Linked DNA regions of Drosophila melanogaster. The protein of the gene in region 1 interacts with the protein of each later gene in a pairwise test. Each region holds a gene or a part of one and is shown on either strand. Other genes may lie near its edges.

What was found.
Region 2: the proteins of CG5783 (region 1) and ntc interact in a two-hybrid assay, tested with the Drosophila melanogaster proteins (one large-scale study listed by BioGRID).

Annotation. Positions count from the first base shown.
Region 1 is NT_033779.5:18,149,988-18,165,492, reverse strand, and holds CG5783 (uncharacterized protein), read right to left. Parts: upstream 9,451-15,505; 5' UTR 9,417-9,450; coding exon 9,210-9,416; intron 9,152-9,209; coding exon 8,925-9,151; intron 8,869-8,924; coding exon 8,692-8,868; intron 8,639-8,691; coding exon 8,386-8,638; 3' UTR 8,331-8,385; downstream 1-8,330. Other genes in the region: CG42750 (uncharacterized protein), read left to right, coding at 299-560, 1,526-1,601, 3,836-4,064; JMJD4 (jumonji domain containing 4), read left to right, coding at 6,953-7,575, 7,630-8,284; CG15155 (uncharacterized protein), read right to left, coding at 9,668-9,902, 9,965-10,078, 10,141-10,373, 10,433-10,627; CG17681 (uncharacterized protein), read right to left, coding at 11,083-11,347, 11,401-11,804, 11,864-12,076.
Region 2 is NT_037436.4:3,793,782-3,810,903, reverse strand, and holds ntc (nutcracker), read left to right. Parts: upstream 1-4,444; 5' UTR 4,445-4,944; coding exon 4,945-5,083; intron 5,084-6,139; coding exon 6,140-6,945; 3' UTR 6,946-7,072; downstream 7,073-17,122. Other genes in the region: CG32263 (uncharacterized protein), read left to right, coding at 1-554; CG32262 (uncharacterized protein), read left to right, coding at 807-1,628; IntS10 (integrator 10), read right to left, coding at 2,088-2,738, 2,795-3,839, 3,893-4,092. UniProt on the Drosophila melanogaster protein: Functions together with PI31 to control non-apoptotic caspase activation during sperm individualization. Positively regulates PI31 stability.

The DNA.
Region 1 (15,505 bases):
GGGCGATAGCGGTTTAGGGGTTAGGGGTTAGGGGTCAACTGGCACTCAAAGGTTAAATGAAAGCCCATGCATAATGAAAACGGCTTCCAGATGTCCTTTGGCCCGCTGGTCATTACTTATGTTTTATGACATGCGACTTAGGTTTTATGCCCTCGGCATTTCGCTCTTGCAGAAATCCTGCATAAGTAAACTACAATGGAGGGAGCAGGGTCTTAGCAACTGCTTAGCACTAATCACTGACTAACCACGAATACGCACCTCTGACTAATCCATTCATGCGAATCCCTGCGCCTTTCAGACAATCATCCGCGAAATGAATCGACTGGGAATGATGGTCGATCTGTCCCACGTCTCCAAGGGCACGATGAGGGACGCCCTGGAGGTGAGCGAGGCACCTGTGATATTCTCGCATTCCTCCGCCTACGAGCTGTGCAATACGAGCCGAAACGTCCAGGACGACATCCTGCAGGCGCTGGCCAAGAACGGCGGCCTGGTCATGGTCAACTTCTACTCGAAGTTCCTATCCTGCAGCGACAACTCGACCGTGCACGATGCAGTCGGTAAGTGCTCCCATTTCAAAGTATACTCTTATAATTTTTATCTTATTTGTAAGACAGTTTATCGTTAGTTATTTGAAACATCAATAAAGTAAGAATTCGTCAGTTTCTAACTTTTATTTCGGGAAGTTAAGATCCAATTTCTAATCACTTATGTATCATAGACACTTTTTCAGAAGCTTTTTAGTCACCATAAATATTTATATTTTAAATCTATCGTAAACGTGACATGGCTGTCTGTGAAAAAAATTAACAAGGGTTGTATTATAACTTATATACCTTGTTAGATGCCTTCGAGGGAACTTTGCCCCATCCGAAATCAATCAAAGCCAGTGACTTGGCCGCGGTTGCTCTTTGTTGCGCTGAATCCTGATTGCCGGGCTATTGTTTCAGTTAGTTCATTATTACCTTTTATCTTCTTTTCACTCCCTTCATCCTGTCCCTATTCTGATTTTTGTGGCATTGCTTTTGACGAGCCATCAAAATGGGTCTCGTAATCACTTCCTTGACTCGATGTCTTCTTTTGAATCCCCGCAGATTTCCCACCACTTTTTTTGGCTACACAAGGAAAAATTATCAGTACCAAGATTAGATTATGTTGTTTGTCCATTTCGAATTGATTGAACGTTTTACTGATTTGCTCACTATGTATAAATAAATGATAAATGAACAACGTATACTACATATTTAAAAATTGCATATTAATATTTGTGGTAATAAAAAGCGATTTTCCAAGTGTTTCTCCTGCAATAAGCCCCTCTAATGCCTACTTCTTTCCATTTCTTTGTTTTTCGGTCGACTTGGACACATTTCAAATTTGCGAAAATTTTAATAACGCTGACTTATGACGGCCATACAACAACAATGGCGTCCAACCTGCAACAATGGCCCTTAATGAACTTGACGACGAATGGTAACCCTGCCACCGGATATCCTTCCGCTGACCAACACACTTTCGACACACACAGCGCATATTAATCACATTAAGCGAGTCGCAGGCATCGATCACGTTGGACTGGGCGCCGGCTACGACGGCATTAATTAGTAAGTAAAAGTCATTTATTTCACTTAAATTCGCATTCCTCCGCTCGTCCTCGCCGTAGTCAATATATATATATATATATATGTTACCACCTCCAGGTGGTTTCCCCTCCTCTGGCTGCCAATCTACCTACTGTTTTTTAAGTTATTAATTGATTATATTTAAGGACGAGGACTTAAAATTGGCATATTGCCAGAGCGCGATGGGTGCGGATAGATCGTTATTATTTTACCGCTCATTACGGGCACTTTTCCATTATTTCCCTTTTGTTCTCTCATGTTTTTCGCAAACAATGTGCAATCTGTTTACCGAGATTTTCAAGTTAATTTAATGAGCTCTCAACTTGCATCCAGGTGGCCATTAATAAAAGATTATCAGCCATCGTAAATATGTGGATAAGATACCATAAGATTATGGTAGTCGTTAGTGTATTAAATGGCTGACACTACTTTCGACGATAAATTCGGAAAAAACACTGCAATGAGGACATGCTCCGGAAAACTATGTAGCAAAATATTTAAGTACCGAAAAATCCAGCTAAATTCCATTTGCGAAATCTGGTATTTAAATGAGCTCGCAGCCCAAAGCTGCCAGTAAATCACTTACCAATCAGAATTTGTCCAAAAGTATTTAAAGCCTGTCCCCATTAGCAGGAGCGAAATGTTCATTACCTCGATGAGCCGACCAGTGGCAGAATGTCCTTTTTCCCCAAACTCAGCGTCATCACCATCATCAAGCTCATTCATCTTCATTATCGTTGTAATTATTCCCGTGATGCTGCGGAGAATGCATTTGCATAGATTTCCATTTCATTGCATCGTGAACACAATGCGAAAACAAACAAAATGTTGAGGATGAAATTTTGATAAACCTACCTGGTCGTCCAGTCTCATCTCGCTGGGCTGTTTTTGCATTAAATATTTTGAGGACATGGCCAAAAATGAGCAAAAATGAGCAGGATTCCCATGCAAAAATAACAACAAGGACGACATAAAAATGTCAATGTAAATCAATTTCCACCGAAATGAACTTCATTTTGTTTTGGTCTTTCGGGGCAGCAGCGCGACCACATAAATGTTTTTGAGGTATTTTGGGGCCCAATGAAAACAAGAAAACTGAAATTGGTGTATATGAATATTTATGGGGCAATTGCCGGGGACCGAAATACGAAACAAACATGAGTATGGCACAATAAATAATCTAAAATTCTATGAAATTACCAAATGTCAAATGGCCTTGTTTCCGGTTCGGGTCAAACCGCATGGCTGATATCCTGGGCTGATATTCGGCAAATAACGCGAATTTCCACTTTAAAGGCTCATTGGCTGTCCCCTATGACACCTTCCCATTTTTCGAGGTTGAGGTTTATCTATTCAATTAAATTGTCATTACTTGTGCCGATAATTTGATCGACATATTGAATTGAATTTTAAGTTTTGGCCATCAAAAGCCGCAAATAAGTGCTATTAATTTGGCAACACAAACGCACACACATGCACAATAAACATTCTGCCCACATTCGCATGCAGAACTTGAAAATGGCAAAAGCCAAACTAGGAGAAAAGGACATAAATTGTTTTCCAACCGCAGTCGATTTGGCAAATTTTTGGAAAATCCTTAAATTGTTTTATATTGACTCGGCAGGGTGGCGCGAATGTTTTATAATAATGTTGATAATAATTTAATATAAAGTGCTCTTATAATATTACATGGTTGGCAGTCCATTTAATTGAAAATGATTGTTTTAATAAATATAAATAAATCGGATTTATGGTGCATCACCCTGTTTAATTTGTCCTTACTGGTATTGTGACCCATATTTTTGCTGTTTGTGTCATTGAAACCGTGTTTGGCCTAAACGCCTGCATAGAAAACTAAATTATTATTTATTTGTACAAATTTCTGTTCATAAAATATGATTACCGAGCACTTGAGTGTTCGGCCTGCAAAATGTATATTTATTATTTATTTTCCTATGTGTGCAATCCATTATTTATTTGTTTTCCTCTGTAGCTTGACCCAATGCGACTTTATTACGCCCAGAGTTTGTTTGCCGTGGACTCTGCCTCTGGACAGCTTAGCCAATTTATTTTGTATGTAGTGCACGAAAATTTAATTTAATTGTGATTAGAAATTTTTTCAAATATATGTTTTATGCGGAAGCATTATTCCAAAATGTATAACTCATATTTCGACAAAAAAGCTAATGCACTGAGATTCCTTCTTCTAATTTTAGTACGCCCAAAGGACTGGAGGATGTGTCTTCATATCCGACTCTATTTGCCGAACTCCTTGGCGGCGGCTGGACAATTGACGAGCTGACGAAGCTGGCAGGCGGCAATTTCCTCAGGGTCATGCAGCAGGTGGAAAAGCTGAGGGATGACAAAAAGGCAGCGGGCGTGAAACCCTTCGAGGATCATCCGAACTTCCGCACGGACGACCCGTACAACTGTACGTCCAGCTAATTGAGCAGCGGATCCAAACACACCGAGGTTGTACCGGAAATGCCGGGGATGTACCCAAAATCGTAGGAGAAATCGATTGAACTGCTGCTTCAGATGTATAGTGGATAGACCTATGTAGCAAATTTAAAGGAACGTAAATTAAACTAATGATATAGATACCTACGATTCGTATAAGCTTTAAATACATATTTTTAAGATACGTAAACATTTGAATGCCTGATTATTTGGCTTGGGAAGTAACTTCCTCGATCTTTCCCTTTGGTAATCGAATCGAATTTCTTTTCATTTTATGACAATCTACAGACTGCCAAGGAAGAACACACCTACTTATAAATTGCACCAGAGTCCCACACAAAATTAACGTAACACTAAGTTATTTCCTACCTCGAATCCATATAGAAACCAGACTTTGTTAGCTCATCTCCAACTGGACCAACAAACACTCCACTTCTCTTCTGTGAACTTTCAATTATTTCACTAATTTACATGAGAACTACATATCAAGCATGTATTAAGCTAAGATATTTAATTAACAAAGTATTTGATTTAGCATTAAATCCAATGCGAATACTTATGAGTGGGAAAGCATACACTTATAAACAATGAGTAAAGTAATTAAATACTTTAGTTCCAGCGAGGGCGGGACGTAAATGAAATGTTTAGTTAAATTTTTAAGCAGTTCGAGGGCGTCGAAACTGAATGAATAAATAGCGTAATGAATACTAAATTAGTTCGTAAGCAACGTGTAGACGTGGCACTGCCTGCTACACGAACACTGTACATAGATTCCGATCACAATAAGTATAGCAAAAATTCATAATGATATAGAAGTTTTGCAGCATATAGTACATACATACATACTACATTCGTTTTCACCTACCAGATACACAGATACATAGATCTCTCAGTCAGTCTCTCTGTACCTTCTAAATAAAAAGATGGAAATATAGAAAAATGCGCTTAGCCTAAGTAAACAAATTATACATACTAAACCAATATTGCAAGCCGAAAAACCGAAAAATGTAAAACCGAAAAACCGAAAACCCAAGACAAAATCAATAATTGTACATTTTCTAAACCGAAACCGAATAATAAATTGTAAACACCTTTATAACGATTGATAGCATGAGAATCTACTGTTACGTTTTGTACGATTTTGTATGTGTATATAGCATTTTTACCTATACGCTAATTTGTATGGTCATTATATAGTTTTCTAGCAAGCGATTCGAGCGTATTATACTGTACTGGTCTGATGAGCAGATTTGTTGGTAATCATGTAGCTATAAGTCTGGCCTGGAAGGTCGCAAAATAAATATCTGTAAAGTTTATACATATACGAATATGCCTAGATCTAGAAATAAAAACCGACTAGCATAGAACAACATGCATATATACACTACAACTCGATTCTCAAAATGTCTTACACTTATTTGATCTCTTTCTCAGTTTGAAATTGAACAGAAACAAACACACAATCTCAGACATGCATATGTAAAACCAAATTGTAGTTAAAAACTTGAAAATGGTAAAATGTTTAGCGAATAAAACTCTAAAGGCAAACCAACTGCAGTAAATATAAAACCAATTAAGGAAAATAATAAATTGTTTTATTGCTGGAACACGTGGAATGGTGGAATGTGGAACTTAAGGGGGTTCTTAATTTATTTATTTTTTCGGTTTTTATAGGTGAATTCTAAAAAATAACAAGAGAGTCGAGTTCCCCGACTATCAGATACCCGTTACTCCGCTAGTGTGAATGCGAACGCAAAATTTCATCATTTTTCTGGGATATACATAGATAGATATTGGGGAATAAAATGAGTAAAAAATTTGAAATTTGTTAAAAGTGGTTTTAGAGCGTTAGAGTGGGCGTGCCAAAAGCTTTTTGCAAGTCGACAGAAATTTACATGATCAATAAAATTATGAAAAAATATCCAACAATTTTCAAAAATGTGGAGGTCAGATTTGGGCGGTTTTAGGATGTTAGAGTGGGCTTTGCAAAAAGGTTTTTGGCAAATCGATAGAAATTTGCAAGGTTAATAAAATTATAAAAAAAAATTATCAAAAATAAATAATAATTTTGTGGACGTCGAAGTTTTGGACGATTTTAGGGCGTTAGAGTGGGCTTGGCAACATGTGTCAATAAACTTGTGCTGAGTCTATGTCTCCAGAATCTGTATGCTGAATCTCAACCCTCTAGCTTTTATAGCTCCTTATACGGACAGTCGGACATGACCAGATCGACTCGGCTATTGATCTTGATGAAGAATATATATATATATATATACAGTCGGCGGAATAAATCGACGGGATAAGCCGACGGTACATGGCGCGACAAGTCACGGTATGTCAAAAACTTTTTAATTTTATGAATTTTTTATGCGAAAAATTCCATTAAAATGTTATCCACAGTTTTCGGGGAGTTTGAATTTTTCTGTTACGACACGTTTTTACATTCATTGTGTTCGAAGCTGTGCTAGATAAATAACAGCCAACGTACATACATGTAATCGCTGATAAAAAATCGTATTAAATAACCATGTGGGATTTATTGATTAAACATCTGGTGAAGTTAACTTATTGGGGTGCTAGCTTTATCATTTTAAGAATTTTTTTCATAGATTCCATTTAAGTTAATTTAAATGAATTCGTAGCCTTCATTCAAACCCATCCTTGAAAAATACCAAATCGTCTATCGTCTATAAAGACACTTGTAAACGGTCACATTGATATAACGGCAAGACCATATGTTATTTTATTTGCGATGGTCACACAGAAAAGTTGCAACCAAATATCGTTTTGGAATTTTTTACAAGGAACTCAAAAAGGAACAGCCAGTGCATGATTAGGAATTTGAGCGCCTCAAAGACCCACAGCCAGATCGAATGGCGTCCGAAGAGCGGGATGGGGATGTCCTGCTCCAGTTGCATCCCGAGGAAGTCGTGGAAACTGACCCACAGCTGCCCGAGGAAATCGAGCGCTGTTCTGGACTAGATTATAACGATTTTTTCTGGCGCTACATGCACAAGAACATACCGGTCATCATAGCCAATGTGTCTAACGACTGGGAGTGCCAGAACTGGACTGTAGGCCAGTCCAGTCCAGAGTCGCGGGATCTCAACTCCAATCCGAGTGCATCTTCCATCAACTTTGACTACCTCAAAACCAAGATCAGCGATGGCCCGGTTCCAGTTGCCAATTGCAATTCGTCGTACTTCAATAGTCACACCAAACTGGAGCTCAACTTCCACGACTACCTGGCCAAGTGGAGGAGTAGCATCGAAAGTCAATCGTCAGCAGCGTGGACGTCGGCGGAAGTGAATAGTAATGTGGCTCCCGCGAGCGGGGACAATCTCTACCTCAAGGACTGGCATCTGGCTGCCCAAATGCCGGGCTATAACTTCTACAAGGTGCCTAAATACTTTGCCTCCGACTGGCTCAACGAACAACTGATTCAGCAGGGGAAAGACGACTATCGATTCGTCTATATGGGGCCCAAGAACTCATGGTCTATTTTGATGCCTTACCTGGTTTTCTCATGCTAAATTACCTTCCATTCTAGGACCTCCTATCATGCGGACGTGTTTGGCTCCTTCAGTTGGTCCACCAATATAGTGGGCCTTAAGAAATGGCTGATAATGCCGCCGGGAGAAGAACTCAAACTCAACGATCGCTTGGGAAACCTGCCCTTTAGTATAGACGAGAAAATGCTGGATGAGCACAACGTGCGATATTACACCATTAATCAGCGGGCCAATGAAGCTGTTTTCGTGCCCAGTGGCTGGTTTCATCAGGTGTGGAACCTAACAGACACCATATCCGTCAATCACAACTGGTTCAATGGCTGCAACATATCCATGGTCTGGCAAAACCTTAAGAACAACCTGAAGGCCGTTTGCAATGAGATCTCCGACTGCCAGCAGATGGACAACTTTGAGGCCCACTGCCAGACAATGCTGAGGGCCAGCTTTGGTATCAACTACCTCGATTTTATAGAACTACTGGAGTTTATAGCCGCTCGCCGATTGGCAGAGGGAACCGTAGCCACCAAATTTTTACTATTCGATAGTTACACAATGAACGATTATCATGTGCAATACGATCTCGAGTGCTTATGGAAGATCACCCGGACTCTAACAGAGGATCCGACTATCCAGTGTAGTCCCCTCCAATTAGAAGATCGCTGCCAGGGATTGCTCGCTCGTTTAGAGTTTTAGAATAAGCACAGCTCAAATGCCTCGGCATATTTTTATACCAATACTTGTATTCATATACAACCGAAAGTCGTAATATTTTAATACAGACATTTAAACACCAATTACTCGCCCTCGGGCCATGTGAACTGCCCACCGGTGGGTTCCGTCCTTAGCCAGTAGCATTGATCGATGACCTGGAATCCCAGTTTGCTGAACATCTCCGATGACGGCTTATTCGAGGGGCCCACGAGAGCCATTACATCGTGACCTTGGACGGCTAGGCGGTATGCTATTTCCCTAGTCACCACACTGCCAAATCCGCGTCGCTTGTGTGTATCTTTGACTTGCAGGGCGCCCAAGTAGCCGCCTTGTAACCTACAGATTTCGATATCAGGTAATGTGTCTTTATAAAAATACATTCGTCTTACCTAATGCACCAGGCAACTAGTTCCTGGGTGTCTTCCTGGTACAATCCAACACTGACGCACAGGCGAATCTGCCTTTCTACGAAGAACAAAGATCCCTCATGATGATTGGGCCACTCTGCGTTAACCAATGGAGCATCTGCCACACTCAACGACTTTAAAACAAATCCAGATGGAGGTCTACAAGACTTAGATCATATAAAACTCGTTATGTTAAATGGATTATTATTTCTTACTCGACTTTCAGCTTGAGAGCGTCGTTGGCTTTCATAAAAAACAAATTCGTGCAGTCCCTGTACACCAGATTCAACTTTTTGGACTCCACCAGACTATCCAGGGCACCAATGTGTCTGGAGGGTATAGAACTGCATTTCAAACCCGACGACCAGTCCAGTAAATCCAGAGCTTTTCCAACAAGGCCGTTCGTGTTGTTCAAGCAACCTACGAATAGTTGATAGCGATCCTAAGAGAGGGCCGCCTCTCTTAGTGAGTTGCAGTCTATACATATATGTAGAACTCACCACTATAACAAAAAGACCTTCATCTCTGGCTTGTTTTGCATCCAATGTGTACATCTTAATATTCCTCATATGGGGCTGTTTTTTCAGAAATTCCACAAAGTTATCAAGGCAGTAGTATTCCTGGCAATATTTTGGCCAGTTTTGCTTGTAGAGCTGTTGGAACTCCTGGATATCTTTCAGCCCAATAACTTCTAATCGAGTACCCATATTGGTCGAGCGAAACAATCTTCCCCTTCGAGCGACCGAGTGAAAATGGCTCATTTGATTGTTGTTTGGGTGACTCAATCAAGCAGCTTGTCTATTTCTCTTCATGCAATCTCTTCAAATCGTTAGATTCTCTTACGTGTGGTTTTCTTATGGCCAGCCAGTACATTTTTTGCCAGCTGCTAAAACTTATCAGCTTTAATAATTTAAATCTACAAAAAAAATAACATTTACAGATAAACAAGTCCTTAATCTTATCGAACTCCTTTTGGCGGCTCCGTCATCAGCCAGTGACACTGGTCGTTGATTTTAAAGCCCAGTTTGGTGAACAGGCCCAAGGATGCCTTGTTTTCCGGAACCACTTCGGTGATTGTATCGCGTCCCAGCAGAGCCTCTTGTCTCGCAAATTCCTTCACAATCAGTTGGCCGAAGCCTCTGCGTTTGTAGGTCGTCTTGACCTGAAGGACTGCCAATAAGCCATCTGGAGCCCTGCGAAGTAATAGTAATTGAGAATTTATTTCTAATAGCATGAATTTCTTTCTGTGTCATACAGAATTTGACGGCGGACCACGGAAAGGGAATCCGGCTCACTCCATTCCCATTGATCATTAATCACCTGAGCATCGTCTATATCTACCGGCTTAAGGGAAAATCCGGCTGGAGGTCTGTTAAAGTTTAGAGCGGTTTATTAGGCACATGCACTATATATATTTTTGGATGAACTTACTCTACTTGAAAAAGCAGGGCTTCCTCTTTGCTCAAGACCAGGGAAAGTGTTACACAGTCGAGATCTAGTTTCAGATTCTTCGCTTGAATAATGTCGTTGGCAACATTGAAATACCTTTTTGGCATTGAGGCGAACTGTTCGCCTCCATAGAGCTTAAACTTGAGTAAGGACTCCTTGAAAAGGCTTTCTGATTGTTCAGCTTCCAGGAAGCCCACAAATATCTGATAGTGATCCTTAACGATCCACATAAAAATTAAATAAAAGATCGCACAACCACCAACCGCATTCATACCACGATCACAAATATTCCGAGCTCTAGATTGGGAAGAGCATAGACTTGCACATCCTTCAGCTGATCGTCCTTTTTATATAGCTCCAGAAACGTGTCCAGGCAGTAGTACTCCTTGCAGTATTTTGGCCATTCCCGGGTGAAAACACGCTTCAGATCACCCAACTGCTGAACGCCGACCTGCTGCAGACGATCCATTTCGAAAACTGATCCCTGGCAACTAGACGGTGATTCAATTTATACACTGAGATAGCAGGGCACCTTCTAGATATTTTGCATATTAGCCGCTGTAGACTTTGCTGTATCTCTATTTGCTGTCTGGGCCTATTCCCTGCCGGATCAAGATATCCGAAAGCCTTTTGGCTTGAATGTGATCAGAATCATTTGCTAAGTGGCAGTTAAAACTGAGTCAGCAATGGGGAATTGTGAAAATATTTAGCTGGCTAAAAGCTAGCTCTCAACTGACTGCACACTTACTTCAAGCGAAACAACCTTTCCGATCAAATATCCAAATAGAAGTGCAGCTCGTCAAGCATCATCTGTACTTAGTTTGAAGAATATATTTCTTAAGGTTACAACTACAAAGGTATATAAGGTATACAAACAATTCATTTGTAAGCAATTTCTGGCCAATAATACTAACGGTGTGGGCCCTATTCGTCGCAGGGCCAAGATATCTGGCCTCCTGCTGCTGGCTTAATCATGCTCCAGTAGTAGTGTTCGTCCTGGATCAACCTGAAGTTGAGTTTCTCAAACACACGACAGGCAGCACTGTTGTTTATATTGACCAAAGCCGTAATATCCTGCTGTAGATCCGTTGCGATTGCTTTGGAAATGGCGGCGGCCACAACTAGGCCCAAACCACGACGTTGGTGGGTTGGGAGCACTTCCAAAGCACCGAGGAATCCACTTTGCAGTCTGTAAGACTTGGTTAAAGATACAATACAATTCAGAATTCATTTTCTTAGTACCTCAAGCACCAAGCACATAATGAACCCAACTCCTTCTCATACAATCCCACATTGGTATTGTATGTTATAAGCATCTGGATGAGCTTCAGCGAGCCGGGATGTCGAGCTGACCAAAGATCGTTAATAAGATCTGCATGTTCCAGCCGCACTTTGTCCAGGAAATAACCATCCGGGCACTGTATCTGCAGTCTCTCTGCCTCCTCACGGTTCAGGATGTACATAATGGTATTCATTTCTCGATCCATGTTGAGCCCGAGGTCCAGAGCCAGCTGCTTGTAGATCTTGTGATGGATCTCATGGATAGCACTGACTTTAAATCCTCTCGACCAATCCAATTGTTTCAGCGCAACTTCCAAATCGGTTTTTTGCTTGCTCAAGTTACTGAAGAATAGTTGATAACGATGCTGAAATGATAAGTGTTCAATGATTATACTCAATAGTTCGTAAGAACGTTTCCACAGACCACCAGTATAAACAATCCATCGCTCCTCCAATCATTATCCAAAGTATAGAAGTTAAGGTGTTTCAACGTCGGGTTTTGATCCATCCATCGCAAGTAGTTGTCCAGCCAGAAGTAGCCGACACAGTTGCTGGGCCAATCCTTCAGATACAGTATCTGCAGATCCTTGAGATTGGCCACATCCGTGATTCTCGTCAGCTGTCCCACAGTTGCCATGCCGAAGAGAACTTCTTGACTGTTTATTGCCACCGGCTTACTTGTTTTTATTTGCTTGTTGATAAGCTCGGAGAGAATTGTTATACCCTTGTAAAGGTATCACGATTTAATGCCACCATTTTAAACCTAATAAATATATGAAAGTAATCGCGGCTATGAGCTCATTATTCCTGTGCTGTTTAATATTTTGCTTAGAATAATAATTTTCCATCATGAATTTAATATAATAATAATATTTTTGGGATTTATTGTGTAAAAAGGAATGTGTAATATAGTCAAGAGTATTTATATGTTCGTCTATCTTTAGTTTTTATTAGAACATGATTGTAAGACCTGATCGCAAAAATGAAAAAACGTTAGCGGATTAATGACCAGCAAATACTAGACTAAATATTTGTTAAGTGTAATTGTCCAATAAGAAATTTACTTTTGTATAGACCCGACTTTTGTTTTGAGTGTATTAAGCTCTTGTTTTGGAATTTCTTATCTACGTTTTATAATTATGAATAATTTTAATATTTTTTTGAACGAAATCAAATAAAATGTTGTGACAAATTCTCATTGGAAACTTTCAAGAAGTTCTCATGGAGGAAAATATGTTTTCAAAATATATTTTCAAAAATTCTACGGCACAATGAGTTCCACATTTTGGAAACAAAAGTTAAGTCACCGTTAATTTGATTTTTCAAGTAATTCCACTCATTTTGTTAATTCTAAGCATTAGCGGGGCTGCCATCCTGAATTCTAAGGATGTTAAGCGCGGCCATATTGATTTATAAGGATATCAAGCATTGCCGTCCTGACTGCTAATGATGCCACGGGTTGGAGCCCGTGCTAGAGTATACGAATACCAGTATTTTGAAACTCGACCACTTTCCAGTTTCACCACCATTTCTAGCGATAATGTGCGACCACTTAGCCGAGTTATCCACCCGCTAGTGCTACTTTTTCCGCGGCCATTGTGGAATTTTTAATGGGTCGCAGTATCGTTGGCGATTCCGTTGGCAGTCACACTGGAGAAACGGAACGAAGCGGACGCAGTGCGAACGATACAGATACTTTTCGGGGAAGCGATACTTCTTCGGATTCGTGCGTGGTTTCGTTGCGTCGAGTGAAATTGCACAAATTAGTGGAAGTGCACACTGTCGAATGGAAATAGTGCAGTGCCATCGCAGATCGAAAAGTGCAATCAATTAGTGTTTGCTAGTGTGAGTGTGTATGTGCCAGCCAAACGGTTGAGATAACGTGAAAACGGGGAAAATATCTTTCAAAGCAAAACTAAAATATGCTTAAACTACGGTTTAGCCAAATTGCCAACTAGCCAAAAGTAACGAGCACACCGAAACCAAAAAAAAAAGCCAGCAAACCAAAATAGAGGTAAATACAAAACTGTCTTAGGTGTTTACCACATTGTGGTAATTGGAATTCCCTGAACCGCTCGCTGTTTGCATAAATTACTAAGCAAAATAAATAGTTGCCCTGTTTGCTATATAATATTTGCAAATGCCATTGATAAATTTATTAGGGAAAGGCGCAATATTCCGCGAACTGGACGTAAGGGGAATGGCTACAATATATACTGACAATATACATATATATGTATATTTTTTTATATATGTTGTTCGCTGAGCTCCGTGGGCCCAAAAGAGCGATACGAAATTCCCAGAAACGCATTTTCTAATTTAGACCGATTTCTGAGAAGTGACAGACAGCCCAGGCGAACCAGCAGATACAAAGATACTCGTACTCGCACTCACTCTCACAGATACACAAGCGGACTCACACGCACACACACACACACACGCAGGCACTCTGAGTGGTTCGCGCGGCTGTGTGTGTGCGCTTGTGTGATGATGTTGGCAGCCAGCTGCCGTTGTTGTTGTTGTTGTTGTTCTTGTTGTTCGGGCTATTGAATGAAAAATGCTGCTGCAAACATTTAACACCGCAAGCCAAGCTGAAATGAAGCTGGCCCTCACACAGACTCGAAACTGAAACGCACACAGCGCCACACGACACGAATACAGATGCAGATGCAAGCGCACGAGCAGATGCGGATACAGTGAAGCCTCGACAGTGGCGTGCGCACCCACAAGAAAATACAACCACTTACTCGCATTCCACTCCGCGTTTTCCCACGCCAAACATAACCATATCGAATATCACTGATAACATGAGCTGTCAAAACTTGTATTGATTAACCCCTGTTGTGCTTGTCGCTCGAAAGTAACTTCGCGGTAACTTCGTGAAAAAATTAAGAATATCTCGTAGGAATTATGTAGGATATATTATACTTTTTACTTTCGGGAAAAGTATCTATGTAGATGGAAGTTTGAATCATTGGATTAGCACACTTTTTGTAAGTTAGCAAACTTAAATTAGAATCTTTAGTTTAAAGGTATTTTGAAAATGGATTAGGGTTAAATATTATGTCAGTAAAATTTAAAAACTCATTTGGGTATTACACATTTTGACCATAATCACACTGATGGTTCCATCAAACTACCCGTTGTTCTCATATATAATATAATTTATTAATTATATAAAATAACTTAATTATATTTATATAAACATTTACTTTGCTTAACTTTTTTAAACCAAACTCAATACTCAATACTGCTAAGTTCTTCTGCTGCTTAGGCTTCACTGTACTTGCGCTGCTCTCCCAGCCGCACCACTACCAATATCGAGGCCTGGTTGCGCTGCTGTTATGGCCTATAGCAAAGTGGTTGTTGTTGCTGGGCCCTGTTGTTGGCCATGGCTTCTTGCTAAAGGTGTATGAATGTAAAGGTGTAGCGGCTGAATTCGTCCGAAGCCGTACAACAACAATGGGTTAAGAAGTGAGAGGGAGGGCGGTGAGGATGGTTGGTAGGGGTAGGGGAATCTGGGAACATTGGTCCTCCTCTTGCTGTTGCCGTAGTTGTACCCTTCGGAAGAAAAGGTGTTATTAACTTGGTTTGTAATGCGTCAAATTGTTCTTGTCTGCGCTCGTTTCTCTCTGTGTGCCTATGTATGTATGTATGTATGTCTGTATGTGTGTGCACTTTTTGATTATTCTTGGTAAAACCCGCTTTTACCATCTTCTTCCGCTCATTTCCTTGAATTTTCGTATTAAACTTGAGAGCGTTTTCAATTTTTTGTTTTAATAGCTTTTCACGTGAAATGGTTTCTCGAACACAGGATAAGTGCAGTGCTAGTGTTGGAGCGGGACAGCAGCTGCCCCGAGGGAGAGGCACATAGCGATCTTGCAAAAAATGCCAAATTGTCTGCCCAGCAACGAAATAGTCCCTCTCTATCGCACACCAATCATAGGTAGACTGTTGGCCTCTTTCTCGCACCCCCACCCACCATCTCTTTTCCTCTTTCATGCCATTGTTGTTTGTTTTTCCTTTTTTTTTTCGATGAGATTTTTCGTCGGAAATTTGTTATTGT
Region 2 (17,122 bases), on another chromosome or scaffold:
CGACAGCCCCCCCTCCGAATGCAAAATTCTGGACGAAGCTGTTCGGAAAGTACCTGTTGCTGACGAATACCATCGGATCGGGACTGCTCCTCGCCATCGGCGATGCAATTGCTCAGCAGTACGAGAGGTTTGGTGAAAAGAAAGCCTTTGACTACTCTCGCTCAGGATGCATGATGATTACGGGCTCGGTGATTGGTCCGATTCAGCACGGCTTCTATCTGCTGTTGGATGGGGTTCTACCGGGCACTAGTGGATGGGGTGTGCTGCATAAGATACTCGTGGATCAGTTAATCATGTCACCCATCTATATATTCCTGTTTTTTTACGTCAGCAGCTTGCTGGGCGGAAAGAGTTTCGTGGAGTGCAATAGCGAGCTGTCCGAGAAGTTCCTCTACACATGGATGTTGGACTGCTGCTTTTGGCCGGGTCTGCAATATCTTAACTTCCGCTTCCTCAATTCCCTCTATCGCGTGGTGTTCGTCAATGTAGCCAATTGCGTGTACGTCGTTCTGCTTTCTCATATAAAGTACGGGGTTTCCAACCACGATCCCTAGTTATATTTAATGGCAATTAAACTTAATAAGCAAAATACAAGAATGGCGTTCCAACAACTCATGGATAAATTTTAAAAGCGATAAGAAAGCTATCGATTAGAAGCTCGCTGGTACAGTAAGTGGTGGTGGTCAGTCGAAAAAATGCCATCCCCAATCAGCTGCTTGTTTAACGTCAAAACAATCGGGTCTTTCGTAACGTAAATCAAAAACACACGGGACTACAGTAGTCGCAAATTGCAGTGGCTGCGAACGATGTTTGGCACTCGTTGCCTGCGCCAGTGCTACAGTCTCCGAATCCATGGCTCCCACAATTCCCGCAGAGATTTTGCGGCTCTGTGCCGGATGAGAAGCCATGGTGTGGGATACCAAAAGTACGGACTTCGTTTTACCCATGGCAAGGGGGAAACGGAGGGTGGAGCGCTTAGTTTCATACTGCTGCGATGGACTAAGATCGCGTGGAGCAACATGTTCGGCAAGTATCTGCTCGTTACGAACGTGGTGGGCTCCGGACTGCTGATGGTCGTGGGCGATGTGATAGCCCAGGAGTACGAGTACAGGCGTGGATTGCGGCACCAGGACCGCTTCGATACGGATCGCATGTACCGGATGTTTGTGGCTGGCGCGCTGCAGGGACCTCTTCACCACTACGTGTACAACTGGATGGACAGGGTAATGCCGGCTCGTACGCTAAAGAACATCTTCAAGAAGATCCTGATTGACCAGCTGGTCATGTCGCCCGCCTGCATCGTCATATTCTTCTATTCGCTTTGCTATCTGGAGCGCCAGACCCTGGACGCCACCAATCAGGAGCTGATCTCCAAGTTCCCGTATGTTTACATGCTGGATTGGATGACCTGGCCGGCGGCGCAGTACCTGAACTTTCGCTATTTAGACACCAAATACCGGGTGACGTTCGTCAATGTGTGCACGGCTGTTTACAATGTGCTCATGTCCTACATGAAGCACGATTTCGGCGTTCACCTCCCACTGGAGGAGAAGTTAGTTGCGTCCTCCGAGCAGAACCTATTGCCTCAGAGTTCAACGACGAGTCCCGATGCCCAAAAAGCCGTTTAAGACAGAACGAATAGGAATCGCGGAATAGGTGTGATATCGACAAGAAACCAAATTATTTAGTTATTGTGAACACGAGGGTTATTATGTAAATAAGAGGCTCTTAATACCAATAAATATGCATGTTTAGTACACAACTGGTCCTTTAACATAAATGCTTAACCAAGAAATAAGATGAATCATTTTAAGTTATTGTTAGTCGATCAATTATATTTATTATACCCAAATTAAATTAAAACTACATGAAGTTTTAAATTATGCGTATGACTAAATCGAAACATATCAAATGCAACCTCTAACTATGTTATCAGCTGATAAAATAAATATTTGTTTATTCGATAAGCGAAATACACCAGTCTAGACTGGTGAACTTAAATATAATAGTCGTATGTATTAACCAAACACACAATGTGTAAGATAGCTGGAAAATAGATATTTTATAAATGTTACCTCCTAGTTATTTCACTTAATCACAATCGTCTCCACGGGCTGACTGATTCCAAAGATGTGCTGCGCCAGCATCAAGTGTTCTTGGTTAATGAAATTCGCAAGCAAAGTGATCACGTTCTCATTGCAGCGGGCAATCTGCTGGCGTGTTATCGCCCTGAATTCATCTCGGGCTCCTTTGTCCGCTCCACGGGTGCCAATTCTTCGGCTTTGGGAACCACCAGCTACAGTGGTCGCAGTAGGTGTGCCACTCGAATTTGGCGAGCTGGTCAACTCAAAGTTATCCTCCTGCTGGGAGTTCCAAATGTGCGAGAGTTCCTCGAGCAAATCGATATTAATAATGTAGGTGGATAGGGTGCGCAGATTGAACGATTTCCGTTGCTTGATCAGGTTAAATATCTGTTGAGTGAGCAGAACATCGTTGAGTAGATTAAGTTGCTGCAGCACTAGGATATCCCCTAGCAATCGATCTGGAACGTTCGGTTCGAAGACCTTGCGACTCAGTCTGCTGATGATGGCTCCCACGCAGTACTGAACCAACGCTGATCGAGTGAGGGGCAGAAAAACCATGTGCCTGTGGCCCTTCAGCGACATATTCTCCAAAAGTTGACCCTGGGTGGTGGGGAGTTCTGACAGGATCTTTAAAATGCACTGGAAGCCCTGGAGCTGTGTGAGAAATTCATTAAGGTTTACCCATGTGAAAAAACTGGCTCTCTACTTACCGTCATGCTGCCTTGCATTAGATTAAGGCTCAAGATCTGCAGGCTTTGCACCAGACTGCTCTGGGTGGTCATGTCCGCCATAAGCTTGTTGGCCTCATCCCGGTGTCCGAAATATATGGCCAAGTCGAAGAGGAATCTTGAGATCCAAGGCGCCAAGGGAAGAGCCAGCATAAGTTGACTGAAATCCCTTTGGAACTGATCCGTATTGAGCAGCTGCCAGCACTGGGCGGCGTGTAGGAAGGCCTTGGATAACTCTGGACTTATGGCCGTGGTCAGGGAGAATTTCGGTGGCTCCATGCTGGGCACTTCGGAGCCATCACCTTCCGGCGACCATTCCATGAATCCTTCTACCAAAACATGAGTTACATCGGCATCCTCGATCCTCAGCTTACAATTTCGTATATAACCATGAAGGGAGTAAATGAACAAGGTGGTGGCGTAGAACAAAACCTGGGAGCTGCCCGCAGGACTGCCGGAAAGTATGTCCACCAGCTTTTCCCAGTAGACGTTCTGGTTGACATGCTTGCTGAAGGGCAGGAAGGGCTCCCAGCCCATCATCTGACCGCAGATCATCAGCACTTTAAAGATGTTCTTCCAGGCATCTGCTGTATCCGATTCATCCATTATTTGCCGCAAATAAAACTCCAAGGAACTGGTATAAAGTCTGCAGGCCAGATTTGGCGAAAGTTCCGGGGGCTTATTCTGGATCATGGGCAATACCTCCTCCACCAGAATCCGCTGATAGAGATCCGGTTCGGTTTTCATGCCCTCCGCCAGCATTTCCAGTAGCCTGGGAGCCTGAGTTATGGCTGATTTGGGAAACTTGTTGAACATCAGTATGTAGATATAGATGCGCTCCAGATTATCGGCACTGTGGTTGATGGTGTGCATGAATATGTTGTGCTGTACTTCCGGAGTTAGGTGCTTGTACATTTTTACATAGAACTCGTGTTCCGGCGTAGTTTCATTCTCATTTCTGAGGGCATTTGTTAGGGAGTTGATCTCCTGCCACAGCTCCGTATGTTGATTCTGGAAATTGGTGGCTCTGGAACAGTAAAAGATAAAGTAACTGGAATAGATGTGCTATTGTATACTCACATAGCACTGAAACACTTTGCTGCCTCCTCATAATTCTGAGCATCGCGTTCCAGTAGATAAGCCTCGTATTGCAGGTTGAATGCATTGGGATATAAAGTTTTAGCTGTGATAATCCAGGCCATGGCCGCGCAAGGATCGCTTTTCCGGAGTCTTTGCGCCTCCTTGACCATGTACAACTCATTTTCCTCTTGGCTCGGCATGTTTCTTCGGGTATATCTTTTGTTTTTATTAATTTTCTCCTAGTTTCAACAAAAACAAACCATTTAGCCGGCTATTAGGAATTTATTTACTAGCACTGGCCATATTTTTCTATTAGGGATGGGAACTATTGGATCTAGAAACTAGCTAGAGATTTCAATTATTTTCAAAACGCTTGTTTAGCATAGTGCGCTTGTTTTAGTTACATTAGGGCTGGCGTTATTGAGTCATTTCAACCTAAAACGCTTTTTATATCAATATATGTTCGGTGAATTCGAAGATATTTAATTTTCAGCTTGAATATAGCTAGCTTAACAAGCGACTCTCTCCTCATCTGCAATCGATAACAGCAGCGGCAGTAGTGTTGCATAGTAGCTGCCAGCCAGCTGATTATTCGCTAAATAACCAATTGTTTTTTCGCGAATTTTTCAATTTTCTGTGATTTTTGCGGCTACAAAATCGAAAACTATATTAAGCAAAATACATACGAACCTGGCAATTGCGACTGCTTATGTAATATCTGTGACAAACCAAGTTTTCTAGAAAATACCTGCCGATGCGTCGTTGCGCTTTGTTTTTGTTGCGTGAATAAGAATCGTTGGATATTTGTACATTCGCAATTTGTTGTAAATATGTTTAAATCTTAAGTGCCACAGCTTATCAACGAAGTAATATAATTGCGATTCCCTCCTTTTGTTAATCAGTCCCACTATATAGCACTAAATATAAAAATTGAGTGCACAAATCGCAGTATGCCCCATTTTCTGATTGTCATTCCGAAAACAAACAATGACAGTCGCATTGAAAGTTTAAATCAAATCGTTTCCCAGAAAATTCGTACGTAAATATCTGAAATGTCAGACACTAAATCCGAAATTGAGGGCTTTATAGCCATTCCCACGACATCGGGCGAACAACAACAACAACAGCCGCAACAGCAGCAAAATGAGCAACAAGTGGTCGGCACAAAGGACATTAAAGCTCCTGATCAGGGTAAGTTGTGTAATATTTATAGAAACTTACTAACTTACTTAAGAGCGCTCTATGTAATTGATAAATGGCCTGCAAATAACAATCGTTCATTAGTATCTTATCATATTCTATATCGTAAAATAATCTTAAAAAATACGATTATTGTATATATTAATATTTAGTTGAGAGTATCACTGATATCTAGAAGTTATTCATAATCTATAATAGAAATCATTATTTAATACATATCACTTAACAATAGATACTCATAAATCATGATAAACAAGACAACGTACACTAATTCATGCATTATGCTAATAACAATCTGCTCATTCTATAGATATTTTTTTAACAAATTTATTTGTACCTGTTTCTATTGTTAGTTTATAGAGCAATGTGTTTTTCATCCACGAATTATGCATATCTATTTACTCATACCTTGAATCACTTAACTTGAATGAAGTTCCTTAGACTTTCATTCCAAGATCGGCGACTCTCTTCGATGAATCATCAAGTTAACCCCTTCGAATAAAAGTAACATAAATTCCGAAAAACCTGTTTGATTATTTTGTAAATTGCTTCAAAAATGTGACGTTATATTTATTGTAATAATAGCCGTTTTAATTGTTCAGTTCCAACTTGTTTAACCTAGTGTCTTATCAAATATATTATGTAAACACAAAATAATTCTAAGTTTGATTAATTTTACAATTTATTTTAAAGCAAATTGAGTAGTGAATTAAATATTTATGTCGTGTTAGACATAATTTTATTTACAATTTCTTTCGTGATTTGTTTTTGAATGCAAGTGTTAATTTACTTAATTTATTTAAAGTTCTACATCAGTCTTAAAGTCTTAACGGGAGTTTTGAGTTTACTTCTGTGTTCTATATTTTGTAGTGTCAAAATGTATTGTATATAACTACCGGTTTGAGTTGTTGCTTCCGAAATCCGCACATAGCAGGTTTGTTTCTGCAATTTTCAATCTTCTCCTAACCAACCAACAGCACAGACAATTTCACTAATCATATCCTCGAGATTCTGTTTAAATATAAATACAAATAAAACTCGTTGCAGTGGGGAAAAAGCAGCGACCACGTTTGATACAAGAGAAGAGCACCCAGGAGACAAATCCGTTGATCCTGGAGCATGCTACTCTGGAATGGGTGCCGCAGCATATGGATAAGCTACTGAATCAGTATCAGGAATGTCGCAAAATGCCGGCTGCCGAGTGGCTTCATTTGTTGACTTACCTGGTGGCCCTGGAATGCGGATTTGTGGAGGAGGAGACATTTGCCCAGAAGAGACACCTCATTCAACCCGTACCATCATTTAGCAGCTTTCACGCCCAGAATGTGCGAATCCTGAGCGAACAACCAGCTAGATATGAAGTGTGCTTCAATGACACCGTCTATATAATGCGACTGAGAACACTATTGGACAAGCATGCTCCCGAGGAGACTTCTCTGGTGGCTGCCCTTCAGTGCCGGCTGATGGCCGTCAGCCTGGGGGATCAGCTTATGATCACCCTGTCCCCAGCACCTCCGTCGAAGGAGCCTGGCTACAGCGTCAGCCTGTCTATCGGACGCTATGTACTGAATATTCAGGCGAAGAACAAGCCCATCTACCATCGCTTTCGGAAGCTGGATGAACTCTCATATCAGCTGAAACAGCACTTGTTCCAGCCCATGCGATCGCAGCAACTAATGCAGATGGAGATGAAGCTACAGCCCTCGCTATTGGGCCTCCCGGACGAATTGTACTTCGAGATCTTCAGATATCTGGACAAAAGCCAGCTAAATGTGGTGGCCAGGGTCAATAGACATCTTCATTTCTACAGCAAGGAAGTGGAGCGAAAAAGGCTAAAGGGCGGCAGAAGCTAAGCTCTTGTTTTAATCGAAGCCGGTTTAAGCGATTTTATAAATATTATTATATTAATAAATTATTAAGTGGTGCATAAAGATTCTCGGGAATCATTGTATGTCAATAAATATATTTGCTTATTCAAGTAAATGCCTTGTTAAGAGCTGAAATACAACACGTCTCTTTATATTCTCTGAAATGTTTTAAATATTAAGACGGATTTTTACAATAAACTATCCTCAAAGATAAAGGGAATATTCCTTGCTTTATTTGGTGGAAGGCATGGATTTTTTCAATTGAAAAGGTAAATTCGAGAAAGTGATTCAATTAATTAAGCACTTCAGTTTTCAGATAGATTTTAAGTAACAGGGGAAGGTGTTTTAAATTACTGAAGCTTCTTATGTTTTGTTTTTTTACATATGTTTTAGTAAGAGTAAGAGTAAGAGTAATACCATATATTTGTGTTTAAATTATCCTTTAAATTGTGTCCTTATTGCATGCATTTATACGACCCGCTCCATCAGCAAGGACAATTGTGGATCCTCCGACGCCCTCGGCTGAGTCCTGCAACTCCTTCGATATCTTTGAGCCACCTGCCACGCCCCTGGATTCCATTAGCCTCAAGAGCAGTGCCAGTAGTTACCTCTACGATCGTGATATTACAGGTGAGTTGCGTCCACGTGTCCGCGCCACCTGTTCGTCGGCATTTCACCCCCCCCCCCTCCGCCCTTTATGACCGAAAAGAGGGGTACACGCCCCTAAACGAGTCGGCCCTCAACCACAGAAGTGCAGAATGCGAAACAAGCTGCTCCAGCAGCCAAAAACACGCGCCGAGATTGTCGCATCCACAATTCCCAGTGCCCCCAAAAAACCCCAAGCCCCCATTCGCCATTCCATCTTCGTCGGCTTCGAATCTCCAACCTCACAAGCCCACTTCGATTTTTTATGCGCACGCAAAATCAACAAAACCCACGCGGGCAAAACGGCACCCCTATAACCCCTATGTGTGCTACAGCTTTATACACTGAGAGAAACCCATGAAAAGCCGACGAAAATTTGTAAGTTTACACTAGTTTACAATTTTCAATTCATTTGGAACTCTTGAGAGTATCTCGAACACATTCGTATTTCTTTTAAATGTTTCTCTCAGTGTACTCCCCTTGGCCTCTTCGCCTTTTCGGTTTTCCTGGCGGATGGCATCTACAATTTGGTTTTTCTCCCTCAACAGCGGGATGCTTGCTGCTCGGTGCTGGGCTCCTATTTCGTGTTTATATTACGATATCGACTTTCTCGGGCCGAGCCTTATCACTAAAATAAAATGAAATAAAAACAAAAATGGAAAAGGGAGAGAGTGAGAGTGAGCCCAGCCTGGCGACATTCCCCTTGGAAACCCTATGTTTTCGGTTTCCCGTGGGTCCTGTCGAAATTATCTGGCTACAACTTTATCAAAATTTACGAAAAACAGTGACAAATGCATAAATAAATTATGGCAAAGCCAAACAAAGCAAAACATATTCCGCTGGGCTAGTGCTCTCGCATTTATTTTTGGACTAGAGGCAGTCGTGTCTCCTGAAAAGCTTCGGAAAAACGAGAGAAGCTTTCCATCGAGCGAAGAGTTACTCAGCATTTCCCAGGGGCAGCTGTTTAACCCCAGCCTCGTCATCCATTTTGTCCGCCCACAATTCGGTCGAATGGTTGGGTGAATGAACCCACAGATGTGGGTTTCATACAGTGGCGAAATATAACGAAATATAGTTATTATATACCACGTCAAGGAGTATTTCAAAAAGTGTTCTAATTGCAAATCATTCATTTTGCATTGATAAGATTATTATTAAAAACCGGTTTGAACTGGTGGGTTTCTGCAATAAAATTTCTATTGACTGCGATTATTTGTCAATGTTTTTATGGCCTAATGAAAGACTATCTTATCACGAATAAAAGCATGGAAATTGGAATTCCATGGACAACAGAAATAATTAACCACTGAGTCATTTTGTTTATGTTGGGACATACATTAACCTAAATTTCTTCAATATTGAGCTAAATTGAGTTACATGCGGTTTTGGTCACACTGTCTCCCCATCTGCAATGCTAAACTGTGCCAAACTTTTCATTCTGCTTCTCGTTTGAGTAGCTGTTGTTGCTTTCGTTTCCATTCTCGGTCTCCTCCCGTTTGTGGGTGGTCCAGTAACGGTAAACAGCAAAGAGGAATCAAAAGAGTTGGCAAAACATATGCTTCTCCTATTTCCCTCTTACTTCTGGGATGCAAGCAAAAGCAAGGGCCAATTTTCTAAGCACCAGCAGATGCAACTCTGTCTCGCTCACTCAGGGTCACACTGGAAAAAATAATCGTTAAATAAACAAACATAAAAGTGAACTCTGCTTTAAACTCTTTAGTAAATCAGCTATATTTATGAATGATGTTAAAAATAATATTTTAAACATCATAAATATTTGAAACTGCTATTTAGACGTGCGATATTGAGTCCAAAACCTGATGAACTTTCATGTGGGGGGTGCTCAGATGGACCCGATTGTTTGCTATCTGTGCTTTCACAGCTCTCACAGACTCCCGATTTCCTGTGCAACTCTCTACGATTCTACCACTCTCTCGGCTGATTGCGCTTTTCGCCTCTCGCTCCTTGGCCAGCCAGCTTTTCCGCAGGATAACAAAGCTCGGCGCAATCAGTCGTCGTACTTTGGCCCAGCGTCTCTGGTCGGAAAAGCGGAAAAGCGGGACTTTTCACCCGGGAGAGAGTGTCGCGAATCCTCGCTCTCGCCCAGATACCGTTAGAACCTGTTCGAACTAGGTCCTTTAGTGGCATACATATGCGTGGCATCCTTCGCGTCCGTGTGTGCTTGTGCTATGTGTTTTCATAAATATAAATAAATAAGTCCTGGCTGGTCCAGAACTTACTACTACTACTACCCCACACACACACAACAGCTGATTATTTCAAATCGGCGCTGGAGATTTTTATAAACACTTTCAAGTGGGTTTTTGGGTTTGAGAGGCTGCCGAGCGACCTTGACATCGCAGTCAATGGTCTAGTTACCTCTTGCATTATCTTTGACTCGCTGAAATCATTGCGAAATCAGCTGGATTATTAGTGATTTATACTAAAGATTTATGAAGTTTTCTAAATTTTATAAATCGTATTTTAACAGTGTGAATGGGTCGCTGAAATGGTAAACAATTCAGTGTGTATTTTCTAAAGAAAATTTATTTCTAACGATTTTAGTGTAATATTTGTAGTAAATACTGGATAGCAAATCCAGCGACCGAAACGCAATGGTCTAGTGCCACTTTTGAACTGTATAAGTTAATATTAGATCAGCCTCAAGCTGGATTACAGCAGCGATAGCAACGGACCCTGGGAGAAGCAGCAGCAGAACCCAAATCCGCAGAACTCCAACGCGGAAAAGGACAACAATGCCAGGACCAATGAGCAGCTGCAGCAGGACTTGCTGCAACAGTTGCAGCAGCAATTCCAGATGGCAGCGGTGCAGCAGCAGCAGCACCACCAGCGGCAGTTGCTGCACCACCAGCACTCCCATCCGCCCTTCCAAGCCACCCAGCAGCACCAGCCCGCGCAGCAGCAGCAGCAGCAGCAGCATCAAACGGTGCAGCAGCAGCAGCAACAGCAGCAGCAGCGCTTGCACCACTCGCACCACCCACCGCTGCAGCACCACCTGTCGCTGGGTGGCTACCAGCAACTGCAGCTGCAGATGCAGGCCAACAGGAATCAGTACTCCACGCCGCAGCATCACTATCGCAATGCAACCAATGCTGCAGCGGCCGCAGCTGCAACATCGGCGAATGCTGCCACCATTAGACGCCGCACCTTGAGTCACGTATCGCGCTCTTACTCCCTGGGCACAGCGGCGGCCAACGCAGCAGCAGCCGCAGCAGCAGCAGCAGCAACAGCAGCGGCCACAACTGCAGCAGCCACAACTGCAACATCATCGGCCAGTAGCAACAATCAACTGAGTATCCACAAAACTGGGATCATGGTCGCCGCCTCACGATGTCGAAGTCCCATAATGCTGTGCCACAGTCACAGCGACGGCGAGTTTCCACTGTACCGAGGTGAGTCCGCAAGCGGGTGCCCACTGTAACGTAGTGCGTTCCCAGGTGGATCGACGTACATTTTGATAGCTTAATTAGCCGCTGTCATTGTGTGTCACTCGCATGTGCAACAGTTGACGGCAACGGGAAATGGGATGAAAATGAGATGAAAATGGTATGAAAGTGTGGGGCTATTGAAGGGAAATTGCGTTGCGTTTGTGTATTTTCCGGTGCTCCATTGTGTCCTGTAATGCTAACTGGTCGATTGTTGTGTGCGGGCCTTTGGGCTTGCACCTCGTATTGATTGATTACTTCGCAATGATTTATTAATTGGATTACAGTCATGCGGGCTTCGTTTCATACTGGCAGTTTACGTTTTAATTAAATATTTTCCAAGCACATAAATGTGCTTATTTTTATGGAAGAACAGAGATATTGCAAAATGAGTAGGCAAATAATAAATAAAATATATTTTTATACCCATTTAAACGTATCAAGGAGGTTTTATGCGTTACAATAAACTCAATTAGCAGCGTTTACTTTGATGGTGCCCCGTTTAGATTTCCACTTAATTACTCAATTACCGTTTCAACCGATTCGATATAAAAAGCCATCATTTCCTAATCCGCAACCTTAACAAGCTATATCGCACTCAATATTGATATTTATGACGATGGCAATTTGCTAAATTGAGTAAATGTCATTGAAATCGCGAAAAGGTTGGCTGTAATCAATGTCCTTTTCATTGCTCTTTATCCTGCACTCGATTCTATGCAATTTTCCCGTTGATTTTTATGCTTTTCTTTGGCTTTTCCTCCACCATTTCCACTTTTGTTTCGCTTGTCATCTGGTGCGAAACTTAATTAAATTACGACACTTCTTCAGCGCTTTTTTTCAGCATTTCCTGACAAGTTCAAAGCGCAATGTGTCGCACATCCTGCCAAGGATTTCCTTTGCTCTCTTTCTATTTTGATCGCCTTTCCTTTTCCCTCACACACATATTTGTTGACTGTTCTAATACGCTTTAAATGATGGAATCGATTTGGAAACATTTGATGAGCTTGTCGCAGCGGCGACATCTGCGAAAATCTTTCATGAGTCTGCACAGTAAAGAAATTTAACAAAATAAAATAAATTCCTAAAAAAATAAATTATTTTGAAATTATTTGTATAATGGTTTTTGCAACCTCTAATAAAAAACTGTGTATGTTCGCCAAAAAAAAAAAAATCATAGATAATTCTATTATTTTGACACTCTCTTTTCTCAGTGTAAAACATTTGCGGGTGTTCGTACGAAATAAAATTAGCAGACTGATGATGAGACGGAATCAAGGGGGTACAAAAACTTTTCTTTGTCGTAAAATGTTGCGAGCAACGTTTCCCAAAAAATTGGGGCTACAAAAATTGATAACTCAAGTGGAAATCCAAGCGCATTCTGAAGTTGTTCATATAAAAAATTTACGAGTTTCTTTCGACATCTTGAAAAAGTTTCGTTCTTGGATTTGGTTGATTGTTTAAAAAATTATTGATACGAATTTTATTGGCGGCTTCATTTTTGTGGGATCTAGCAGCTGAAACAAATGGGGTTGGGTTAATTATTCAGGCCGCATTTTTGGGTTCAATTTTGATGTGCATAAATTTCGTTGAGCACGATTTATTGGTAAGGATTTTCCGCCTTTCGTTCCCAAACTTGTTAAATTTCCCTCGGACTTTCTGGCTGGGTAAATATTGACAAATATTGATAATATTTCATTACCGTCTTCGATAGTTTTGGCCCGCCTTTTTTTTTTGCCTTTATCCTTGTCAACGAAATTTGCAGTTGTGTTCGTTGCCTTCTTTTTCAATTTTTATTTGCTGTCAATATGGCGCCATTTATGACAAACTGTTCGATGATGGCGTCGACAGCTTCCTCGGCTTTAATCACACCAGCCCAGGAACCCTCTCGTTGCCTACACTGAAAACAATTGCATATGAATGTTTGCTGAACTCATTCCACCACTCATTTTTAAGCCAACAACTTGAAGGAGTTATTTAAAGTAATACAAACTAAGCTCAAACTAAGCAAATCATCATTGTATACATTTATAGCCCAATTTGTTTCAGTGTATTGCATGGCGGATACTTAATGACTCCATGGCGTGTCTTTAGTGCTCGAGTTAATGTTTCGCGTATTGATTTCGCTCCCTTCGCCTGCAACCCCACGACTCTTCCCTTTCGCTCAAATGCTTCTTGGCATTTCTCCCACGGAAAATGGGGGCGGTGGGACAGGACGGAAAAGGGGGGCGTGGCCGGGTAGTGGGGACAACAGCATCCGCAGCAAGTTGGCCAAGTAATTAAGGTTCTTGTAGCGCTGCTGCCTCAATGGCTCCCCAAGTTACGTGCACGAAATCTAAATTTAATTTGCAACTTGTGCCAAAAACGTGGGAAAAAGAAAAATTAAATAAAATATTTCGATGCAGCACGAGTTTTTCTTATGGGCCTATTGACGTCATTAGCTGTAGTATGGGTATAAATAATGAAAAGGATGAAAAGAAGGATAATTAATTGACAGCGGAAGAGATAAATGGATACTGTGGGATGCGATGAGTCTTCAAATAAATTCAAAAAAACCTATTAAATCATTTCAACAACATTTTAAGAGCTCTATCATTATTTCATAGAAGAAAAACAATTAAAAAGTACCACTTCTTATGATTAAAATATTCTGAAAATTATCTATTCAATTGCATTTCAAACAAATTTAGTTTGAACCCAAATGAAATGTCACACAATCATATAACACTTAACACGCTACGCAATTGGCCTATTCAAATTTCCCGATGAAGTTTAAATGTTTGCCGCAATTTAATTTCACTTACATAAATCCTTAGTAAATCTATTTAGCCGCCAAACTTTTCCTCTCACAAATTGAGTTCAAATTTTCTCGCTTTGGCCTGACATTTTCTGTGTGCCATCTTCTAGGCGCTTCAAGTTGGCCAAGAAACAACTCAATTTGAGTTTGAATGCAGCTATTTTGGGCCTGGTACTTGGTCGCCGAATTTGGCATTGAATTAACGTCTTCTGTCCGCCAGTTTTCCTTTTTCTTTGGACTCACTTTTTTGGCGAAAAGCGAGCGAGACCCCAGGAAAATTACCATAAAAATGCGCAGCTCTGTAAAAGATTATCTTTATTTGCAGACCGAGACGGGCAAATCAAATGTATGTCCTTGAACCTTCTCGCCCTCCCCCTCACGTCCATTTGAGTTTTCCCCACAGTCACATCAGACTAAACAAAAGGCCGAGGGAAAACCCAAAAAGAAAAACACAGCAACAAAAAAGGAAGACAAGTCAAAAGGTAACCAACAACAACGGAGACAATGCCAACCGCAAATGACCAACTTAAGCCTCAATTTTGGTCAAAAGGGAAGACATGGAAAAGATGGCCAAGAGGGGGAGGTAGTCGGAGGGGGGGGGGGGAAAACTGTGACCACCTTGCTGGCAAATTGCCTGGCTTAAAAATTTAATACTGCTCGCTTATTTGAAAACAATCAAAGCTCCAGTTTTGTTGTTGACTTTTCGAATGCACTGAAAGAAAAAAAGTTGACCAACTTTATAATTTTTATTTTTCGCTACCTTAAGCATATATCATTTATTTTATATAATTTGGAATATGTTTAATTTATGTACAACAATTATTATATAAAAATGTATCTAAACTCTTCTCTATTTTTCTCTGTGTCGCTGTTTACGGTTTTTCTCGTTTGGCTCGTCCGCTGTTATTTATTTATATTTTATTTGCCTGCCCCACTTACCTGACATCAACCCCTGTCCGCCGCATCCTTCCGCCTTCCTTCCTGTCGTCCTTCCGCTGGCTGTCCACCACTTCCCCCTCTCCCCACCCTTCTCATCCGCACTCAACTCATCTCCAGTGACAGAATTCTGGTCATGTGCTGCACATAATTGCATTCAAAGCTCTGGAAAGCAACCCTCCTGATTTTCTACACCCCCCTCTTATTGAGCAGCGCGGCAAATGACAATAAGAGCGGTTACTTATACGCCATGTTGGCCATGTGGAAAGTTGCTCATGTAATTACAGCCCAGTTTGTTGTTGCGGGTGGTCAGGAAAAACGGAATTCTTTATGCAAACTTTTAGGTCATGCCACTCGGACATGGATCTGGCCAATGACAAGTAGCAGGGAAAGTTTTGAGGGAATTAAAGTTTTCCAACAGAGGGGAAGGATATTTTATGAAAAAAAAAAAAACGTGGAATAACTTTGCAGTGAAAGTTGTTTATGCTGTCAGTGGAAGTTTAATTTCATTAACATGTTCGTAATGTACTATTTTAGTCATAATAAGTTGAAATGGGAATTCAGCAAATTAAGAACTGCCTTACAGAAATTTCCTTAAATTTGCGACTTTGCTTTGAATTTGTAACTTTTTCGAAATTGTAGTCATCCCATTCGATTTTTTCTTTGCCTTTTTCACTATTGATTTATGTGGGTTTTATGTTTTGGTGCTCTATTCCGTTGACCAACCTTCTATTCCCGTTTAACGTTTTGTTGACTAACACGCATTTCACTAAAAATAAACTTTTGTATTTTATGCTCTTATTTAATTAGTAATTTTATTAGTAATTTACTAAAATCCCAAAACTTGTCATTGAGTAGAACAATTACTTATGACCAAAATTTCAAAATATTTTAATATGCATATTATTGAATATATAAAATCTAAATAAAAAATATAAATTAAGCAGAGAGTTTCAGCAAAGCCATACAAGTTGGAAAAGCAGTTTCTACAATCGTTTTTTGAAAATCTGTTAAATTTTTCCCAGTATACTTTTCAACGAGAAGTGGTCATTGTGACAGTTTTGTTTTATTTTGACCGCGTTTGCGATTGATTTTAGTTTTAGTTGAACGCGAACCTTTACCAACGACGGCTGAGAAAAACTTACAATTCTCAAAAAATTGAAAGAAAATCAAATACACATGTGTACGCGAATAAGCCAAATAAAAATCGATTATACGCCACGTTGAACGCGCTGAAAAGTAAAGATAAAATTGTGCCGCGAATTCAATTTAACGCCAGACTTGACTTTATCGTGTGCGAGTAATCAGAGAAAACGGCGATATATAGGAGTAAAAAAGGATTTGTAGATAGGAAAAATTTGCAGAGGAGGAGATGGAGTGAGGTGCCAATTGAGATGTCCTGTCGACGCCACACGATTACCATTTCATCAGTACTTTGATTTGGGCCAGGCTAATAGATAGGCCTTTATTATCATCCATTTTTTTCCCATTGATTTTCCTTTTTGGGCTTCAATGTTTCGCAAACGAAAGCAGCAGCAGTTGCGATTGAAACATCGTACCGGCGACAGGAAGCGGAAATTGTTGTCCTGCATTTTTAACAGAGGTTGGCTTAAAACTGTTCTTCACTTTCACACTCACACTTTAGCGATTAATTTTTAATAATGCCCGGATAAAAAGGAGCCAGAATTTCTTATCCTTGCTGTGGAGGACTTGAATATGTTTTTAGTAAAAGAGAAACACGAAACCGACCCTCCGTGGAAGGATAGCTTGGTGTAATCACTTGTTGAGTGCTTTGTTTCGTCCTTTTGTTCGTCCTGCTAATAGTCCGGCAATTAATTGCTTGTCTGCCTTGATTCCTCGCCTGCGGCCCTCATTAATCAGGGGCGAAAATTGATAAGCGCTATGATTTAATAATAAATTATAGCCAAGGAAACGATTTACTCGGAATTTAATAAGGAAATTGCTCGGAGCCTTAGAAAAAAATTGGTATTAATAAAAGTGATTTCAATAGCTGTTTAAACTTTTGTATACAGCTCACTCTTCTTTAAATGTTGAATTTTTTCTGAAAAGGATATATTCATACATTGAGTATTCTTACTCAACCTTATAGCCACGTTTAAACAAACTCACATGCTTACTTTCTTTTATACATTAAATTATCAGACTTGCTTCAGACTAATACTGACGTTAATTTTTATTTGATTTGACGTGCCATTTACCCAACACAATGGCCACAAAAGAAAACATTTTAAAAGCAAACATTGCGTGGGCTGCCAAAAAAGATTGATAAAAAGGCAGTGCTCCATACTCTGAAGCTTACGGAATAACATTCAGCGTT